Drosophila melanogaster: one gene and its partner. The protein of the gene in region 1 interacts with the protein of each later gene in a pairwise test. Each region holds a gene or a part of one and is shown in the gene's direction. Other genes may lie near its edges. The genes, in order: CG17002 and Marf1.

Region 1 (5,582 bases):
CAGTCACAAAGGACCAATTAAAGTCCAAAGTGACTGAGCCGCAGGGAGGACGTGGCAAGCATCTCGCAGCTGGGATCTGCACAGCGAGTAAATCATGCCGCAACGGTCCAATGGCCTGCATCCTTGAATTTTATAGATGTCCTTTCATTAGATTTCAAAACAATCTATAGTAATGTCGAATAGTATTTCAATGTACTATACTTCAGGTATAAAACTTATGTAACACTTAATGAATGCTCCGAATGACAGGTCTTGAAAATCATATATTCAGCGCAAGTTTCCCAGTGCTTGCATATGAATTAAAATGAACAAGAACCACGAATTGTTTTCAGTGTGGAAATGGGTCTCGCTACGCTGGGCGCAGCTGGTGGGTTCTGTAGACAAGTGAGGTGTACAGTGGTGTGGGGATTGGGATGCAGCACCCCTCCTGAAAAAGGGGAAGTTTCGAGGCCGGGATTGCCGGCGCGTTCAAGTGCTGTTTGTTGTCGTTCTGCACAGGTTCCCCTCGGGAAAGGGTATACAAACAGTACAGTCTGTGGCCAGTGTTTATGTATGTGTTGATTCGGTGCAGTCACGTTTGAAAACTAAGAAGTTTAGAGACTTGTTTACGTTTAACAATTCTCATCGGTGACTGACCCAAATATAACACATCCAGTGCGTACGTTACACATCCAACTACACTGAGAAACACAAGAAAAAAAGGGGTTTCTTTTAGTTAGTCACAGCTTTATCTTGACAATGACTGCGCTTTGACTGCAAAGTAGTATCGAATTTTAAGCCCTTTTAAGCTTAATCTGTGAAGATTGTCCTAATTGTAATGTTTATCAACAATTCAACAAAGTTGCCATAGATTTCTCACTGTGCATGACTTCATCGTTTTGTTTGCTATATCACCCCCCGTGGGGATAAAACGAATTGTGAGGACTGCGGGGAGTGTTGCGACACGCCGGTAAACCTGGCACCTCGCAGGAGGCATATTCTCATTTATTAATGCGTCGTCACTGCTGTTCCCAGTTCCCATTCCTATTCCTCCTGTGCTGCGGTGGAGTGGGCGGCTCGGGTGGCGGGTTCGTGCAAAACGGTGGTGGCCGCTGTCTCAGCCGCACTTAATTCCCGCCAGAACTGCCGGGGCCATTAAAGGATAAAAGAGCGGGATTTCTGATTGGGAAGCGCTGACCCTGTTGGCCGCGATAAGTGGGTGCGCACAGCAGCAGGAGCACGGCATCTGCCTAATCCGACCGGCCCACTGTGCAGTGGGATGGGGAGTGGGGAGCATAAGTATTGATTTTTCTCACATGTCCCCGGCAAACACACACATCTTGTCTAGGGAGCCGCATCGCCCGCCCCCACCCCACTGCCCCTGCTCGGAGCAACTTCCTCCGACACCTGGCAGCGATTTGGAAGTTTTCGCAGCTCGTAAATGCTGCACTGCAGCCATAAAACGGCCGCTGCAATGACTCGCATGAATTGCGTTTGTTTATGCTATGGAAAAGGAATCCGGGGTCTGCTGTATGTCGTTTGGGATGCTCCATAGGCAGAGAAATGCTCGATGTTACTCACTCGCCATGTTTGCCGCCTTTGTTGATTATTCCGCTGCTGCTTCTTCCGTTTTTATGCTTTTCTGCTTTTCTTGCTCTGCGTTGGTTGCGATTCCAGGCACGTTGTATCACTGTTAGCTTGTAACAAACACTGCTGATAGGCTAATGACTGCTGCGCGCAACTGAACACATTTCACGGCTTTCTTTCAGTCGCGTCTCCGTTCAACTTCCGCAATATCCGTATAATTCGTATTATCCGTGTAATCCGTATTTTCCGAATCGCGTTCAGACGTTCACACCAACAACTGCAATTCTAGTGTGACCGCAGAGCTCGAGCTGCACGATACCTCCAATGAGAGATGCCATATCGATGCTTACGCATTTTATTAACATCGATAGACATTTCTAGAATGTCTAGACTTTAATGCTTGGATTTTCCAAAAACTATAATCTGTTTCCAAAAAGTTATCGATAAGTATCGATCAGTGTTGAAACTATTTGTATTTTATATTAAATTCTGGGGTGTGACTAGTAATATTAGGAATATAAGCTTTAAAGAAAAAATCGAATTCTTTATAAGTGATTTAGTTCGAACGTTAACTTAAGATTTGCCACCACAATCGGAAAGTAGCTATTTTCTAGCTAGCTTTGCCCATTAATCGATTGGTGGCAACACTGGTCGGCACATCCCACTCACTCAACAAATTGTTTACCACAAAAAACCGTGCTGAAAGTGAACGAAAATAAAGTGCAGCCCGGCGTCGAGCATTTGCAGTGATCCCAAGACGCCCAACCATTGATTCCCGTAGCGGTGTCCACCCGGATTCCAGCCCACCGCCACCAGCACGCCATTCCATTTGGGGAGCCTCTCGGTCGGTTCGGTCAAACAGTCGCGATTGCCCGGTCGTCCACGAACGCTTATAAAATTGGCAAGATAACTAAGCAGAGCACAAAGATGCCGCCAGCATCAGCGGTAAACAACAGCAACGCGGCCGCCCAGGCGGCGAAGGCCGAGCGGGCGGAGAAGCTGCGCGGGGCACTGAAGGGCTTCATCGTGGCGGACCGCCAGCGGCGCCAGGAGGAGTTCGAGGCTCAGTGCGAGGAGCAGCGGCTGCGACGGGAGCGCGAGGAGGTGGAGCGCCAGAACCAGGTGGCCCTGGATGACACACGCGGCCAGATAACCCGACTGGACGAGCAGCTGGCCGATCTGCACAGCCAGAAGCATCAGCTGACCGTCCAACTCAAGAAGGTGCTCAACGAGGACGAAACGCGCAAGAAGCTGGCCAAGGAGAACGAACTGTTCGCCATCCAGCAGGCGGCGGCCAGTAGCCCGGTCTTCCTGCCGCCCCTGCGCCTCCAACACCAGCACCATACGCTGATGCAGAAGGTCTCGACTGCGCAATTGTGGGATTCAGGTTCTAATGGTCCTCTTTTTTCCTCGCAGCTCCCGTCCGGCGGACAGCCAGGAAAACGTGGCAGGAGTCCATCGCCGCCGAGTCAGCAGCAGGCTTACTACAAGAGCGCCGCCAGCTACGCCCAGCAGAGTAAGCCAGGAAGAGGTCGACAATGTGGTCCCTGGGCCTCCGATACAGTGAACGCTGCCTCAGGCAGGCAGTCCAAAGTCTCATGCACGCAATTTCGGTTGGATTTTGTTAACTCGAATGCGGGATCTGCTCATAATTTGATTAGTCATTGAATTGGTTAGCACATATGTATGGTTCTTGATTTGGACGAGAGATATACGTGATTTTTGTGATGTCATCATCTCTACATTCTGATTGCCAAGCCCTTTTTTAAGCTCTATGAAATATTAGCACTAATATCAATTGAACTTCTAATTAGGAATGATTGCAAAAACATGGTTAAGTGTTAAGTAAATAATCAATTCGATATAAAGAAAGTTTCGTGCTGTTTAGGCTTTGTATTGGATGGTTTAGTTTAATGTGTTTTAATGTGCACAAAAATTACCCTATTATTTTGAAGGATATATAGTGTAGAAACGATATATATAGGGTTTCTAGCAGATAGCTCGAGTTTTAAAATTCAACTGCAAATTGGCATTGGCTAAAGGTGCGATACAATCACCGATTGATCTGTTCTGCGGAGCTTTCGCTGTTCTTCTTGATTAACTGCTCGCTAACACTCCGTCCCGTTCATGAGAAATCCATTTCACTGCGCACACTAACCTCTAACAACACAGGCACACAACTTATGTTCATTTCGTTATTTGTTTACGATCGATTCGCAGAACACGATGACTACCGTCGTGCCGCTGACTATGCTAGATTATCATGGAACAGTAAGCACCTCACTTGCAATACCAAGCCCGAGATCCTCCGTCGGAACGATCGCCAGATTCGTCAATTAAACCTCACTTTTCCTCTCTTCCAGAAACAGCGGCACAGTATCCGGGCACGGGAACGGTCTTCTACCAGACGGTCGCTCCTCCGCCGACGACACAGCACCAGGCGGACGCCCGCTTGCAGTCCATCTACAACTACAACCTTCCGTTGCGCCAGGCCTACCACGTGGACCTGCCCAGCGCCACGGTCAGCAAGCCGCCCGACTCGCAGTCGCCCAAGGCACCGTCGCAGTCGCAGCCCATGCAAGTGCTTCACATCAACCTCGACCAGCCGACCATTTCGCAGGCAGACCTGGTGGCTCAAGCCGGCGGCAGCCTCTCGGTAAAGGCCTCCCAGCCACACGTGACTATGGAGAAGCTACCGGACCGCTACCACATCGAGGTGAAGCACGACGGCCAGCCGCCGAGCCACGTCCCGCCTCCGCCACACCTGCTGCCGGAGGGCGTCATCTTCAAGCCGCTGCTCAACGAACTCTCATTGCACAGCAACGTGCTGCAGATAAGCAGCAGCCAGGTGGGTCTCATTCTCAACATTTGTGGTTAATTAGCCGTGGCAGTGTCTTAGAATTTACAACTTAGAACAAACAAGTTAGATTTACATCTTCGAAATCGAAGTTCAACGATTAGGCTCTGCGAAAATGGTTTTTAAAGCCTGAGCATCTTGAATAAGAGCTGTTTTCTATAAAACAAATTCATTGTTGCAGGTTTTCATGTTTTCATAGGAAAACGCATTAGAACCAACTTCCCAACTACTGATTAACATGTTTGATATCATTTACAAGGAAGAACTAAATATTCACTTGACTAACGCCTGGCCAGTTTCCTCCACAGAATCCGAAAACAGCGGGAAGCATCACACAGGGCTATGCCCCTGGACGAGGTGGATCCGCCCACGAGCAGCAGTTGGCTCGGCAACAGCTGGCGATGCTGCCTGGCCAGCCGGGAGCACCGTCCGGATCCGGCTCCGCCCAGCCGCCTCCTGGTCAGCAGATGCATTACACGCGGCGATTGTACTAGCCTCTAACCCCTAACCCCTTTTGTCGCTACGGAACTCGCTAACTGATATACTTACGATTTTAAATAGACATTACAACACTGACTACGCTTCCCACGTGAAGTCGGATAAACGAAATAAAGCACACAACTATGGCGTCCCTATTTTCCAATCGACAATACCATACTGATATTTGATATTGATTTGATATTTGGTATCAATGGGCTTCTGTGGTTCTGTGGTTATACCATAATAACTTTGAGGTATCGTAGTTCTAATCACCAACAGGCAAATTGATCTAACTCGAAAGAGTTTTTGAAATTCTGGGCAATAGAAATTGGATCATGTATACATATAAAAAATGACTATTATATAAAATGGTATGTACAGCTGTGTTCAGAAAAATAGCAGTGCGAGGAATACTAATTAATACAAAGGTATTTTTCCATGTCCCTTTTCGGAATTGACTTTTTATTCCACTTATTTTTGTTAAATGGAATGTGTATATAGGGAAAAAAAGAAAATCCGGTTAGTTTTTCATGTTATCCTTTTTTTATTTACTTTCTTAAGCGAAATCACAACTTTTAGGCTGTTCATAAGAATAGCAGTGTCTGGTTTTGACCAACGTAAAGTCAGGAAATGATCAATATTTTTAAAAAGTGAGTTTGATTAATTCGTACATTTAAAA
Region 2 (4,908 bases), on another chromosome or scaffold:
ATTTCTAACTGATTGCGCATTTGTCAACAATTTTCTACCAATTACGATATGCTAATTATCGTAACTGTGTACATGAAATGTTTGATTTATTTTTAAAATACTATTGCTGGGTAAGATAATCAAGCTTTTCGAAGTAGTAGGCATTTGATGTTAAAACTTCACATATACTATTTTGATATGTATTTTCCATTGATCATATTATTTGTTGATCCTGTATCTAGTAGGCATTTGTATGTGCACCCTTTGTATACTATTTTTATGTATTCGTGTTGTCGGGGCCGTTGACCGAAAATTTTCGTTTAGTTCAGAACCATTTTGATATATATATATTTTGATATATAATATTTCGTTATTAATTTGTACGGGTTGGATCGGTTGTTGCCCTTCATTTATGAACCCATGATTTTGATATGGATTGTATTGATTTTGGTCATAATACTGTTGTTCGTAATAATTAGGTTGGACTTGTTCGAATTCATGTGCGTCTTGGAATCTCATTTCGTCAATAGACATTTTGAAGTTAGAATTCTTAGTTGTGGAGGCTTGTTGTATTGTAGTTGAGGGTATGTATTTCTTATAAAATGTGCTGTTTGAGGATTTTGGATTTGTTGGAAATGACTTTTGGGAATACTTGGTTGAATGCTGATATATGGGCTGGACTTGAAATAATTGGGTGGTATTGATTAAAATTAGGATGGAAGGGTTGAGAATATTGTGGGTAACTTGGTGGATATTGATACAAATACCCAATTGTATTGAAGTTGTGTGATTTTGAATTCAGATAAGGATTTGAGTTTTATTACGGATTTCGAGAAATTTGTTCAATCCAAAATTATTATGTTCTTTATAAATTCCCTCACTCTGTGCAATAGTAAAGTCTGTAATATCACGATGAGCCAAAATATTGTAGTAAATAATTGTATTGGTAGTTATAAGAGTCACTCGTGGAGTCAAAAAGGCATACCAGATTCGTAGAAAAGTATGTAACAGTCGGGAGAAAGCGTTTCCGACTGTATAGAGCTTACATATGTATAAATATATTTGATAGGGATCAATAGCCGGAGTCGATCTGTCCGTGTCAACGTCGAGATCTCAGGAAATATAAGAACTAGACGGTTGAGATTAAGCATACAGATTCTAGAGACATAGACGCAGCGCAAGTTTGTTGACGCATATTGCCACGCCCACTCTAACGGCCACAAGCCGCCCAAAACTGTCAGTTATTAGTCGATTTGACAAAAACTTTTTGCCACGCCCACTGTAACGCCAAGAAGCCGCCGAAGTGGTCACGCCCACACATTTGAACAATTTTTAATTACTTCTCATTTTATTCCCCAATATCTATCGATATCCCACAAAAATGATAAAAATTTCGCGTTTGCATTCATACTAGCTGAGTAAAGGGTATCTGATAGTTGGGGAAAACGACTATAGCATTCTCTCTTGTTGTATATCTGTAAGTTCATTGGATGAATTGAATTTCCTCCCAATTTTTCCTTTTTTTATTTTTTTTTTGTTTGTTGAACAAGGTGCTTGTTAAAGAAACTACAATTGAGCCAAGACAATTTTATAAAACTACAAAAAGAAAAATTATTTAATCAAAATAATAAAAATTTAATTAACCCCAAACTTTTCAATCACCTTCCAGTGCCTATGCCCGCCACCTTCCAGCCTCCACACAAGTCATCAATGTTTTCTACACACGTAGCCTCCTCAGTTGTTTAAGGGATCACAAAGTCTAAGCTTCGCATGTGCCGTGTTGTTTTAAGTGAATTTTGAGTTTTATTGTCGTAAATTATATAATTAGTTCATATACAATCATGTAAGTACAACAAATATTAATAAATATTCTTAGTGGCATGACCATTAGTAAAATATTAATTGAATTACTATATTACTTAATCTAAGCCTATGATTATAGTACCAATATTAATTAAGAATGATCTATGAATAACGATTTTAATCATTTTAATAATCCAATGACTGGTTAAGGCTCTAGGCAAATTACTTAAACAAGTGCTAACGAACATTACATTGACTGCATTTCGCGCGGGAGTATACATATACATACACATTTTTATGTACGCACATGTATGCCAAGAAAATGGCTTAAAACTAAATTCATGTAGAATTTGTATAGTGCACGATAAAAATGCAACCCAAATTCAACCATAAGCACATTTATTTTGATGGTCTGCAGCACTTCGCAAGTTTTGAAACCAATTCGGATATTATATTTTAAATTTCCTTTTCGTTTAGTATTCACAAAATCCGACGATTTTAAACACATATTCATATTCATATAGATAGTTGAATTGAAACTGTTTTCCAACCAAATTGGTTGGAAATTGATATTGATGTGTGTTGTGGATTGGAAAGGAGGATGTGTCGTGTTGCTACGCGTGCATCTTATGAAGAGTGTTGGGATTTATATTGATGTACACATAAACATACGTAACAATTTAAGCTAGGGCTAAAACAGATTAAATAAATTCGAGTTAATAAAATAAAATGGCTCATTATGCACGCTTTTCGTATAATTTCCCGAGCCTATAAAATATGTACAGTATGAAGTGAGCATACACCACATGGCTTAAGCTTAGAAAAAAATATCTTTATTTTTTATTGTACAAAAAATTAATGATGTGATAGTTGTGCGGATGATCTTAAATCCTGCTCGTGGAAGCATTTTTTTATATCATGAACCTAAACAGGTGTCGAATTGTTGTTGGATAGTTTGCTGTTATCACTCGATCAGAATCTATATGCGAAAACAATTTTGCCCACGGCCACTCTACTTCAAGCCACTTCAACTTCAAGCCGCCCACACGTTCGAAAAATTATTTTATTTGTCTACAGTTTTTTTGACAATTTTAATCGATAACCTAATAAAATGAAACAGTACATTTTTCTTGTGCTCTCCCACTATCTGAGTATCCGGTATCAAGAAACTCGACTATATCGTAATTTCTTGTCTTACCTCTTAAGTATTAAGTATTACCTAGTATTAAAATATATATTTGAAATATGTATGTATAAGATGAGTGCTGTGTTTCTCATCTTCCTATATATTATGAAAATTACAAGCTTAAAGTTAACCGCTTAAGACAGATCACCATACGCTCCCTCGATTAATAATTACCTGGAAAGCCTGTTGAGCCTAGATTTTCTTCGCATAAAGTAAATGTACATTTTTTTAACTCTATGCCGCGGAAAAACGTTGGTAATTTGGAAAAATTATATTCCGCCTACAAAAGGTAATCCTTTAAGTAATCCAAATGCTGTGTGATGGTACAGGTGTTGGAGGTGACCTGGAACAACGGACAGACGGCGATGACAGAAATGGGGCGGAGTCATTAAGAAACCATTATAAATGAGGATTCAGTTTGGTTTTATTAAGATTGCAGCGCTTTCTAATTCGGAAGAAATGTTACTTAACTACTACTTAACGAAATTCTGAATATTGTCAACAAAATCTGAAGAAAAATCAATGTACAAAATCTTAACAAATTCTGCAGAAGTTTGGAAAGGTGTGAAAATGAACTTCAGCAAGGTTCAAAAATCTGAAAACAAATTAGTAAAAAAAAAGCACATGTAATGTTTTAATGTAACCAGGGAGTACAAAATGTGTATACATTTCAGGTAACCATGAAAGCAAAGTAATATTTGAAAAGAAAATTAATTAGCTTCCTAGGTCACATCCCCAACCGTAGATGTCTATGAGCAAACTTCTTTGCCCGAATTCGGGAGTCAAGGGAGTCAAGGGAATTGGAGACCTATGCGGTTTTCAGGCACTACCGGTCCACAATAAAGTGGGGAAAACGCATATGCGGTCTTAGCCACTTATTTCTCATTTTGGACTGGACTTTGTTAAGAAGGTAAATGCAAATATTATTTTCGTAAAGAATTCTCTAGAACATGAAAGCGGCACAATAATGATAATTGTATTATTGAATCGTCGAGGGCCTTGGCAACCGGGACCGGGACATTTGCAGACCCTTATCAAGCCATTCCTTAATAAAATCGCTACTATCCAATCCGATTGGGAACGCGTAATTATTAAAAATAACCTTTTCCCAATGGGCGTATCGCATAGGTCATAATCAGAAAATCGAGATAACCTTACAACAACCGCGTGTGTGTTTTCGATAAAAAAGGACATTGTGAAAATGGCAATAAGAAAAACGTATCGTTATCCATTTTAAGAAACTAAAGAACGCTATTGACGCTGAATACTTTACAATACTTCAAATTATGGGAAAAGCTCCACATTTTACAACATCGGACCTTAAATCGTAATTCCATCAAATCGAGTAATTAGAGAAATACAGGGAAACCCCTGAAATATTTTTTAATGACGAACTGCATTTCTACAGAACTACAGAACTGCATTCTGCACCACTCGGACTGCAAATTGCACCAAATTTTTTCCAAAGGACAATCGATGATGCTTTGCGGAACAGATCTTAAATAAACATGCTACGTGTATGTCGATGACGTCAGTTCTTCACAAAAACTAAAGATCATCAAATAAGATATAGAACAGAGCTTAAAAAGTTTATAAAAGCCGGCATCAGGCAGTCTCAAGAAAAGTAAATCGAGGCCTTCCAATCACCTACGTTGATTTACCAAAACTAATATTGCCATCATTCATAGTGATGATGCTCTCTCGTACCTTTTAACTGTTTCCGTAATCAAAAATAATCGCGGAAGCAGACTTCTCATCTACGAAAATCTTTATCCGGCCAAAATAAATTTCTATCGTTTCCCAAAAAAAAACGTTTTGCCACGCCCACTCTAACGCCCTAAAACCGCCCAAAATTGATGGATATTTCTTCATAATTTTATTAGTCTTGTAAATTTATATCGATTTGCTAAACAACTTTTTGCCATGCCCACGCCCACTAA

Evidence for each region.
Region 2: the proteins of CG17002 (region 1) and Marf1 interact in a two-hybrid assay, tested with the Drosophila melanogaster proteins (one large-scale study listed by BioGRID).

Annotation. Positions count from the first base shown.
Region 1 is NT_033778.4:6,983,852-6,989,433, forward strand, and holds CG17002 (uncharacterized protein), read left to right. Parts: upstream 1-2,191; 5' UTR 2,192-2,493; coding exon 2,494-2,925; intron 2,926-2,982; coding exon 2,983-3,082; intron 3,083-3,786; coding exon 3,787-3,837; intron 3,838-3,929; coding exon 3,930-4,414; intron 4,415-4,719; coding exon 4,720-4,917; 3' UTR 4,918-5,071; downstream 5,072-5,582. Other genes in the region: vimar (visceral mesodermal armadillo-repeats), read right to left, coding at 1,561-1,567.
Region 2 is NT_033779.5:22,310,217-22,315,124, forward strand, and holds the start of Marf1 (meiosis regulator and mRNA stability factor 1), read left to right. Parts: upstream 1-1,710; 5' UTR 1,711-1,822; intron 1,823-4,908.